Xenopus tropicalis: one gene and its partners. The protein of the gene in region 2 interacts with the protein of the main gene of each other region in a pairwise test. Links are inferred from orthologs where the notes say so. Each region holds a gene or a part of one and is shown on either strand. Other genes may lie near its edges.

Region 1 (3,658 bases), on a different chromosome or scaffold from region 2:
GTACATAAGGTATAATTTGGTTTACAGTACAGATGATTGAATAGCTCTATTAAAATCATGCAGTTAAATCTATATTAGCATTATGTCATCAGTTATGATTTTATCTGGTTTCGACTACCCTACTGTAAGAAATTTGCCGAAAAGAAACAGTATTTTCTTGTCTGTAATAGGTTTTAGAGATCTCTTTAAACAACAAATACGACACTGTTGTAATTCATGTCCCTCAGACCTGGAGTATTTTGATGTATTTGCTCCTGTCAACTGTTAAAAAGGAATTTTTTGGTGACAAGATTGAGTAGAAAATGTTAGCCTCAGTCTCATTTTTGTAACTTCTAGGTGGCAAATGTGCGGTCCTACAGTTGTTGCTGACTCAGAGATATGAGTGGTGGAGAATGGCATCCCTGCTTAGTACACTTTGAGTAGTTCCTACTTGTTCTATTAGATTAAGCCAAGAGTTTAGGGAAACCAAGGGCAGATACAGATTTTCCATGGAAAGCACCAGCCATGTTATCTAGATTCCTAAGCAAACAAACAAAAATAAGAATTCAAAAACAAAAGGAAAACATGAACATTATAATCATATAAATAAAATCATGAATTCGGGATTCTGCTTTGGTTTTTATCAACCACAGACTTGAAGTCTAAAACTTTGAGCGATCGCTCCGGCCAGTAACTCGAAGCACAGCATAGTTGAATGATGCGCCTACCATATAAGTGAGCTGCAAAGAAAATGTACAGGAGAGAAAATATACAATATATCAATATAATACATAATTATATATGATGTTATTATCCAGTTATGGTTTAAATAGAAACCATAGAAAGTTCTTGTTGAATGGGCTTAGGATACATCATTCCAGGCCAGAAAAGCTATAAGCAGTAGTTTTTCCATGTTAGTCCATGGAATATTAGAAAATGATATGCCTTAGTTAGTATTCTTTCAAAGCAGAGGCCTATCCTACATTTTGTCACATTTACCAATCTATAGTTCCAAGACTAGCAAAAACAGTATAAAATCATTAGAAATCTCACCCGTACTAAAAGATTAGTGGAAGGAGAGGGTCATACTTCAGAAAGACGGGCTATGTTGGTGTTGTTTACACTGGAAAAATGGCCCTTAATATGATAAATATGTATAAATATAAGGGGACCATATAATAAACTCTCTGGTGCTTTATTAACCAGTAGCTTATTGCAACAGACTTTAGGACACCCTTTGAGATTAGATTAGAATAGAATAGATTAGAAGGAGGTTCCATCTTAATTTTTCTAATTAAGATCTGTGAAATTATGGAAGTGGTTTTACTACTACTCATATATTAGATTTATGAATGAGTTGGATGACTTTTTAGAAACTGAGAAAATACAGGGCTTCTGAAAATAGCTTTTAGTACAAGTCGATCCAGAGACTGGTCTGATTTGCCATCTTGGAGTCAGGAATGAATATAGTCTTTACTTTATATATTTCACATTAAAAGCATGCACGCCTACTACAAAAAAAAGCATGCCCCACTAAATGTTAAACAAATCGACACAGTTAGTAAATAAAAGCAGGACTACACTGATAAGTTTTTCATTCTAGGTTGATATGGAAAAGTTGTATGAGTGGCTGTTTATAAAGATACTAGATTATTAAATTCCATGACGCAAATTTAAGCAAGGTTGCAATACATGATAGCACCTTGGAGCAATTTTTTATCAAATGGGTGGAAAGCATTTTTGGCCCGTGGGCATTATATTTCTGTAATTGTCTGAAATATTGTGTTACACACTCAGAAGAAGAAGCATTTATGCTGTATTATAGCAGTTATAGGGACACACACAAGACAACAGGGACATATGACACAGATATATATATATATATTGTGGTAGAGTGACTCAACAAATGAGAGAAAAGGTGAGTTTTCCCTTCAAGTTCCCCATAGTGGGAGATGATAAACCGAGAAGGTTTGCTCTGTTTAAAAGGTTGTGCTGTCTGGCCCTGAAAGCTATAGGGTTCTGGAAGGAACAAACGGATCAGGCGATCCATTCCAGTAGTCCAGCTCACCTATTGGAGCATACTTTCCACAGGAAGGCTGTCCTGTGGAAAAGGTATTTAATGGTATAGAAAGGTGTGAGACAGTCTCTCAGAGCAGAGCACAGAGCAGGAAGGACACCTCTCTGTGTTAGGACTCCCAGAGGGGCTGGGGGTGCTGCCTGCCACTACCAGAAGCAGAAAGAGCCCAGAATTGAGAAAGCTGCCAAGAGACTGAGGATCTAAGGAGCTAAAAGGAAAGCCAGGAGGCTGAGCTAATTCCCCAGAAGTGTTGTGAGTACAGGGGTGACCCCAACATTTGTGTTTTCCCACTGGTAGTCCACAAGGGGCCCAGGTTAGTGAGGGAACTAATCTAATGTGTGAAGGTAGCGCCCAGAGGGCAGGATTTATTTTTATGATTTGTTTTGTATGCTGCAATGGGCACCCCTGTGTAAATAAACTGCCTTAAAGCCAAGAAAGTGTCTGTCCTGGATCCCGCTAGTTTACAATAAATATATATATATATATATATATATATATATATAGGAACATTATCTATCTCTATATCTCTATTACCCTTCCTATGCCATGCAATATATGAGACATGATAGCATAGACAAATATCACAATACATAGTAGGTGTTCATAGGAATTTACTTCACTTCATTGTGAAACAAGAAATTCTTCTTTCTGTGAAACAATAGGTTTACATTCCATTTATAAGAAGGTTTTATCTTGTGACTTAAATTGACACCATGGGATTTAATACATTTTGTGCTGAGAACATTCCTTAACTGCATATTTGACACTTTAACATACAGAAGTGAAGTTGCTCCTGAGGTACAGCTCTGTATGAAATGCTGCAACAGAGACTGCTATTGGTCTTACAGACCCTCGTTATGGAGAAATGTCAGGGTTGCCTAAGAAGTAGTTAGTAGCATGGCACCACTCTTTCATACAAATAGTGCAGTATACAAATTCATATATGTAAAGTATTTGTAGACAGTGCTGTGCCTTCATATTTATGTTATATTTAAAATAAATTACACAGGATATTAAAAAAGTGTGTTTTCCATTTAAAGTGTACATCTGTATATTATTTGCAGGGCTAAGTACAAAGTAAACTCACCAGGGCCACAAGAGTTGCAGCTGCACCCACAAATGCCGCAATGAAAAGGTGAAATGTCATCTGGAACTGTAAGAAAACAAGAACAGTCATCACCTTGTAGCAAGTATGCAAAATCACTAAATTCCATAGGGTTCACAACCTGTGGGGTAGGGTTCAAGGTGCAAAAAACAAGCACAAACCGCCATGTTTGGTTTTCACACTTTGCACAATGAATACAGGTTAATAAAGAGATGTGTGCATTCAGCAGTGCTGTATTCATGAAGGATGGGCTTGGAAGGGATGTAGGTGCTGCACAGGTCAGGACCTGCAGCTCAAGCAAGTTCAGGCCAGACTGGTTGTGGGCCCATAGCAGGTTAAAATCTGTTCTAAGCCACATCCTACCTGTGACATCAGTGCATTCCAATTCCCAACAAACCAAGGGGAGATACTGTGAGGCTCAATAATAAACACTGGGCAAATTTGCACCTGGGCAGTAACCCATACCAACAAATCAGCTGCAAGTTGAACACTGAAAG
Region 2 (3,658 bases):
CGCCCTTAACAGACACCCCTTTGTGAATTGCATTGTCAGCTGCCTGTGCCGCCCTTGTGTTTTCTGCTTGGCTTCTTATTGGCTATGACAGCCTGTCTGCTGCAGTCATCTTCTCCCGGGGTCACTGATGCGCTGCCTCGCTCCCTATTTACTCCTGATTGTGTTTGATTTACCCCTGGCTACAGACCAGCACTATCAAAAAGCCATATAGCTTGTTGTTATATCTAAGCTGTATGGCAGCTCCCATGTATGCAATGACTTCTCACTAATAGTTTATTGCTTTGAGTGCTGTATTATTATTATTATTATTCCTGCATGTAACACATATGTTTACTTCTCACGACTACAGGCGCCCAACATTCTGCAGTTCCTCCTACCCTGCCCCAGGGGGCGCTAGACAGACTGAAGGCTGAGCGAGAAGACGAGATGCAGAGGCTGGAGGATGAGATCTCGGCTGGTCAGTATCCCTTTAAAAGGAAAATAACCAACTCTGTATTAAGGGTTGGACTTGGGGTGTCCAAGGGCTATTACCCACTCTGGGGTAACTGCTGCCCAGATCCTGCCCCCCTGAGCACTTTATACTTACTTTGCCACAATCGGCGGAGGGAAGGCAGAAGGGGAGTGATGGGGAAGGGCAGGCGGAGATTGGGTCTGGGTTTTTTCCTGGTGTCCTGCCGGCCCAGTCCAACCCAAGGCCTAAAGATCAGCCTGGGGCTATATTTGTAGCTACAGTTGATGGTCCCAAACCAATCATTATTGCACTCTGGGCCATCATGGGGAGGTACAAGGAGGCAGCCCAGATGAAACAGGAGCAGGCCCAGACTGCAGACAGGACAATGATTGGGCAAGTCATGTAAAGGGTTGGGTGGGTCATGGCCATATGAACATACATCGCCCCACTAGTACATATTGGCTGCTTAATGATAAAGCAGTGAATGAGCCCCCCCTTCCCTGGCATTGGGTATCAAGAAGTTTATGTTCTTCTTCTCTTCCAGCGTTCCCCTCCACTGGGTTTGATATGCACACGTCCCCGGTCTTCTACCCAGCGAGCTCGGAGACCTCTATAGAGGAGTGCCTGTCCCACCTCTGCGAGAAACTTGCCACGGAGATCCGAGAGTCGCTGGATAAAGCCTCCGAGGGTCTCCTGAGCGGGTAAGTGCCAGTGGTGCCACAATATTGTATAGCTCCTGGGCAGCTTCCGACCTAGGTAGGTACCACAGTCCTGTGGCAATAAAAATCCATACCTATAAAGTTGCCCCCTTTTGCCCCACACCTTTCTGATGTTGGTTCCTCTACTTGGATTTAGAGGGACTGCCCATAATCATTCCTTGATTGTCAGGTGGGGGGGCGGCGCGGGCACCTGAAGGGCCCCTGGGGTGGGAGCCCCGGTGGGCCCTTCACCCCCCAGTCCAACCCTGGGGCCAATTATTTTTAAAGGTGCTCTTGGCTTTAACATTTAAAGGGCAAGTAACACCTAAGGCCCTGTTGAACATAACCCTAACCCCCCCCCCCGCCATATTTCTGCAATATGTATTGGGTCCTGGTTTTCCAGCCTTTTGCCCTCACAGTATGGGGTGAAGCTGCCAGTCATGGCCTTCTGTATCAGCATCTCCATAATTGATTTAAGTGCATGGGAAACGAAGGGGAAATGAAGAGCTAATGGTGTCCTTACTGTAACAGGAGCCTGGCGGCGGAAGAGTTCAGGAAGGCGGTGGCGCTCATTAGTGTACACGCCACTGGCTGGAATAAGGTAAGTAGTCCCCACGTCGCACACATAACTTCCAGTATGGGTGCAAACAAAGGGAGGGCCAATACACTATGCCCCATATGTAATAAAAGGCACTACCTTTGCCCAGGAGCAGTAACCCATAGCAACCAATTAGATGTTTGCTGTTAAACAGGTGACCAGGACCTGCTGATTGGTTGCTATGGGGTAATGCTCCTGGGCAAATTAGTGCCTTTTATTAAATAACCCCTTATGCCTTTTTAAGGTGGTTAAACCATGTCTAGCCGATTAAAAAATCCAGTTGGTTAAGGACCACATTAGCTATTGGATCAGCTGGATTTGGCCCAGGGTATAGCAGGCAAGACTGGGCATAGAGCCACTCATTATTTGCCAACCGAGCCATAGTACTGGCCTACGTTCTGATATATGTATGAACTGTGCCGGTGATCCATACTGGGAAATTAGAATGTACCGATGCCTCTCCCTTAGGGGATGAACTCTCCCCCATTGAGCCTCACTTGATTTAATGCCCTGAGGCCCAGGAGGTACTTACCTGTGTGTCAGAGCCAATCTGTCAGCGTTACTAGTGCCTCCCTGCCCTCAGGCTCTGTATCTGCTACACGCAGGCCGATAACAGCAGCTTATTAGCTTTTCCAATGGCCAGCTAGACTTATAGCTGCCCGATAATTGCCCAGATATCTATTGGCCAGGTTAGAAACCCCTATGGGACTGGTAGGTGACTTGGGTCTCCATAGAGCTGCAATGTGATTGGATCGTCTTCCTCTTTCAGGTTCTTGCCCCACTGGTCCTGCTGCAGCAGCTTCTCCTAGAGCTGACGAGGCGAGGGGAGTATCAACTAAAGGCCCTCGTCCAGCTGGGGGTCAGTTACATAGAGGACATGTGTGCGGACTTTATTATCCAGCAGGGAGGATGGGTAAGTCCTGATTGGGTACCTACCTCTGTGTACGGCAGCGACGTTTAACATAAGCTAAAGCACTGCGACGTAGAGAGTTATAGTTCAGCAACAGCCAGAGAGGCATAGGTTGATGGGTAGTGATGTTGGTAGTACAGGTATGGGAATCCCTTATCCAGAAACCCATTATCCAGAAAGTTCCGAATGACCGGAAGCCCATCTCCCATAGACTCCATTTTAATCAAATAATTACATTTTTTCAAATTTCTCTGTAATAATAAACCAGTACCTGTACTTGATCCCAACTAAGATATAATTACCCCTTATTGGGGGCAGAACAGCCCTATTGGGTTTATTTAATGGTTAAATGATTCCCTTTTCTCTGTAATAATAAAACAGTACCTGTAGTTGATCCCAACTAAGATATAATTACCCCTTATTGGGGGCAGAACAGCCCTATTGGGTTTATTTAATGGTTAAATGATTCCCTTTTCTCTGTAATAATAAAACAGTACCTGTACTTGATCCCAACTAAGATATAATTACCCCTTATTGGGGCAGAACAGCCCTATTGGGTTTATTTAATGGTTAAATGATTCCCTTTTCTCTGTAATAATAAAACAGTACCTGTACTTGATCCCAACTAAGATATAATTACCCCTTATTGGGGGCAGAACAGCCCTATTGGGTTTATTTAATGGTTAAATGATTCCCTTTTCTCTGTAATAATAAAACAGTACCTGTACTTGATCCCAACTAAGATATAATTACCCCTTATTGGGGGCAGAACAGCCCTATTGGGTTTATTTAATGGTTAAATGATTCCCTTTTCTCTGTAATAATAAAACAGTACCTGTACTTGATCCCAACTAAGATATAATTACCCCTTATTGGGGGCAGAACAGCCCTATTGGGTTTATTTAATGGTTAAATGATTCCCTTTCTCTGTAATAATAAAACAGTACCTGTACTTGATCCCAACTAAGATATAATTACCCCTTATTGGGGGCAGAACAGCC
Region 3 (3,659 bases), on a different chromosome or scaffold from region 2:
TTATATCAGGAAAGAGTTGTATACTATGAGTTATTTGCATCCTCTGAAATATTTTAACACAAAAATCAAACTACACACAATTCTAAATGCATATGTGTAGCCCATTTATATCACAGGCTCATTCAGATATGTCCATGAAGCAAAAAATAACTTAGAGGACTGCATCTAGCCCATGGGCCTCCAGCTGGACAGACCGTTTGATGTGCAGATTACCAAAAGTAAATATCTACTGAATTTCAAATTCATTGTAGTGTAGAGGCATTGTACTGATGAGTTAAGGTTATAAGTTATATACTGTTTTTAGAAAAAGATACTTGTTTCCATTTTTGTGTAAGATCCTTGTCTGAGAGATGATTCATTATTAAAGCTATTGCTTAGTAAAGCCTAGGAGGCATTCCAGCATTTGTCTTGATTTTTTTGGCCAGCAAAAGTATAATTTTTTTTCCCATTCGGCTCTTCACATAAGATACGTTTGTAAAAGGTCATGGTTAAATAAATTCAAGTGAACAAACACAAGTAAGTTCATTCATGAAGCTTACAGTGACAGCAAAGTGTAATAAGGGTGTATTCTTTTTATTATTGTAATAAACTTTTACATTTGTCTTTCAAAACAATTTTATCATGCTTTATATAGGAGGTGGGTTAACCCACTTATTAAAATGTTTCTTTTCCACTATTTTTTTTTTTTTTTTTTTAAACTTGAAATCGTTACAAAGAAATAAAATAAGGCTGATGCAAGAATGCCCCTTCATAGTTTACTAAAGCCCTTGGGTAGGCTAAAGATCATATTGGATTTGGAAAAGGTCACCAGTGGAGAAATTATGAAACTATTTGTGCTGTTTGTTATGTGGGATAGCTTGTACTCCCTGAGCCATGGCCAATAGTCCCTTACTCCGCCTGGCTCTTGAAATTATTCCTGGTAAACAAAAGGATTATGTTATTAGGTATTAACTACTGCTTGGCCAGGAATGTCACAAACAACACTCCCCTCTAAAGTAAAGTATTTCATGATCTTGGGCTAGCCATTAAGTCAAATTCTGGAGGTTTGTAGATTGCCCAAACTTGGCCTTACTTCTTATGTAAAAGCAACATTTGGATGCAGATTGCTGCATTGGATTTTAACCACATTTGTTTTATTTGCATTTGAAGGATATCTAGTTTGATGGCACACAGTGTGATTTTTATTTTACCCTTTTTATCTGGTTGAAAAGCACCCAAAATCAGCTCCTCCCTTTGACATGAAAGTTTCATGAAAAGACTGCAACATTATAATTAGTGTTGTACATGCAGGTAAAATACAGCTAATATATAGCTGAATATCCATCTAAAAATAGAAGAAATTATTACACTTATAAATTATTGTGTATTTCCACAATATTTGTTTCAATCTATATATGTATCACATACCCTGAAGAAGGAAGGTCATACCCCCTTGGTCACTATTGGTGTTGGGTAAATTAAAATTGGACTGTTTGAGTCCTGATCTTTTATTTAAATGGTAAATGGCTGGCCAGGTATCCAGGGAACATGTTGCACCACCAACAGTGACTATTTATAGTGGTATTTATATTTTGCATAATGAGCCATTTTGATGTTCTATATTCTGTGTTGCCTGCTGGTGAACTGAGCTGAAACATGTCATGCTGATCTGAAGATGCACTCCCTCTGGACAGTGTTCATCTGTGGTAAATGTGTACACTGGGAAGTGCATCACCAACAGCAAGACAAATGCCTGTATATACAGAGCTTAAAGAAAACAACTAGCTAAAGCTTTGCTCATTTATATACAGGGTGCAAAGTCTCAAGACTCTATCTCTTTAAAATTGCTCGTCTGCAGATCTAAACAGAGTAAGCAATTACAGTGAGCCATAGAGCATTCAAAAAGTTGCTATGTGGGCCACTTTTTGCCCTTGTGATACTATATAGGAAATATAGGCTATGGTGCTCAGACTTACTTTCCAGTTTCCAACACTCTACTAAAATATTTCCCCCTACTTTTTTTTTCTTTGTGCTGTAATGCCTCAATTACATTTCCTTCCATAGTTTTTGGCTTGGTTTCCAGGCTAAATGCCTATGAGAACCTTTCTCATTAACATTTTGACCTCCCCATGCTATCACAAACATGCTTCCCAGCATTAGAAATACATGACTATTTCCAGTGTTTATTTGCATTCAGCAGCCCTAAAAATAATACATCTGAAGTTCCAAGACATGGGGAACTGATGAGTTTGACAAATGTATTCCATTATTCTATTGACATACATTAAAGTATTTTCTTACAATAAATATAATTTACATTATATACTGTTCTACAGACGTCAAAGAGCCCATCCAGCTGTTAAAAGCTATATTTCCCAGAACCCCCTAGAATGCTGGCAGCTGTCTGTTAAAAGAGCAATATTTTTACAGCCCACAAGGGACATAATTGTCTGTGAGACAGTCAGCTAAATATAATATGGATGCTGCATATCTTTGCAAATAATCCCAAGCTTATACAACTGGTTGTAATACCTTTCTTTTTCTTTTATTAGCTGAAAATAGGAATTCCAAATAAATGAATTGCAGACTGAAAATTAAAACCTACTCATATCACTTACATGTAAATTAGATGACAATTTTAGTTGCAGACTGAAATGTATGTATCAGGATAAAGCTGCTTTGATCTGCAAGCCAACATGCAAAGCATGTTAAAAAGCAATATTATTTAGTTTCACAGTGCAGATGCCCTTACCTTATTGAAATTTTGTTGTTAGTAAGTAGTTTTGCAGTGGGAAGTGTTCGGCAGCTTGCCTTGAGCTCAGTGGCAGGGCTGGGGGCTGTCGCTCAGTTTATTACAACAATTGAGGAGGTGTGGAAATGAGAGAGTGAGGGGTGGTTGGAAGCAGAATCGCAGTGAGAGGCAGGACTCCTGATATTTGGAAAGAATTTTGCAGTTTGTTGTTAAGATTGGCTGTGGTTTCCTTCCTTAGAATTAATCAAAAGTTCCCTTAGAGTGAGATGAACTGATAAAACATAATAATTGTTATGTGCCTGCAAGTTCTCTGTTGCAGTTCTTCCCATAAACGAATGGGCTATTTGATTGACATAGTTCTAAAAATGCAAATCAACTGTTGTTTACCTAATTATCTGCACTAAAGTTTTTGGATAAAAGCTGTAAGAAAATACTAGCTTAAGATAAAACATGTTCATTTGGGACCACTAATATAATTATAGATTATATTTTTTGTGTATGTGAAATCTTGCATTTGTTTTACCGACTTCTCTTTCTGTTCTGCTACAAGTGGTTGTGTACTTGTTTCTTCTTATTAACAATGGACTTTGCAGAAAAATGTATTGTCACACTTGTGTGAAAAAGCTTTATTGTGGCAGTTAAAATGCAAAGTATTTCTTAATGGCAAGCATTATTAACAAGCCATGTAAAGGTTTAGGGCTCTGGCACACGGGGAGATTAGTCGCCCGCGGCAAAACTCCCTGTTCGCGGGTGACTTACATGTTCGCCGGTGGGATGCAGGGGGAAGGCAACTCGGAGAGATTGGTCGCCCGCGAACATGGAGTTTTGCCGCGGGCGACTAATCTCCCCGTGTGCCAGAGCCCTTAGGAGTGGTCCCAAACCACTGGTTTGGGAGCAAAATGTTGTTTACCAGCCCCATAGATATTGC

What was found.
Region 1: the proteins of bcl2l13 (region 2) and plp1 interact in binary tests that used the Homo sapiens proteins (3 or more experiments, as listed by UniProt). The two-hybrid records come from large-scale screens. The link is inferred for Xenopus tropicalis from reciprocal best matches to the Homo sapiens genes BCL2L13 and PLP1.
Region 3: the proteins of bcl2l13 (region 2) and pln interact in binary tests that used the Homo sapiens proteins (3 or more experiments, as listed by UniProt). The two-hybrid records come from large-scale screens. The link is inferred for Xenopus tropicalis from reciprocal best matches to the Homo sapiens genes BCL2L13 and PLN.

Annotation. Positions count from the first base shown.
Region 1 is NC_030684.2:37,565,889-37,569,546, forward strand, and holds part of plp1 (myelin proteolipid protein), read right to left. Parts: intron 3,387-3,658; exon of another isoform or gene 3,210-3,386; coding exon 3,144-3,209; exon of another isoform or gene 3,121-3,143; intron 2,309-3,120; exon of another isoform or gene 2,130-2,308; intron 720-2,129; coding exon 642-719; 3' UTR 1-641.
Region 2 is NC_030679.2:8,692,644-8,696,301, reverse strand, and holds part of bcl2l13 (bcl-2-like protein 13), read left to right. Parts: intron 1-349; coding exon 350-457; intron 458-995; coding exon 996-1,152; intron 1,153-1,680; coding exon 1,681-1,750; intron 1,751-2,516; coding exon 2,517-2,660; intron 2,661-3,658. UniProt on the Homo sapiens protein: May promote the activation of caspase-3 and apoptosis.
Region 3 is NC_030681.2:73,815,279-73,818,937, forward strand, and holds the start of pln (cardiac phospholamban), read right to left. Parts: upstream 2,839-3,659; 5' UTR 2,732-2,838; intron 1-2,731. UniProt on the Homo sapiens protein: Reversibly inhibits the activity of ATP2A2/SERCA2 in cardiac sarcoplasmic reticulum by decreasing the apparent affinity of the ATPase for Ca(2+).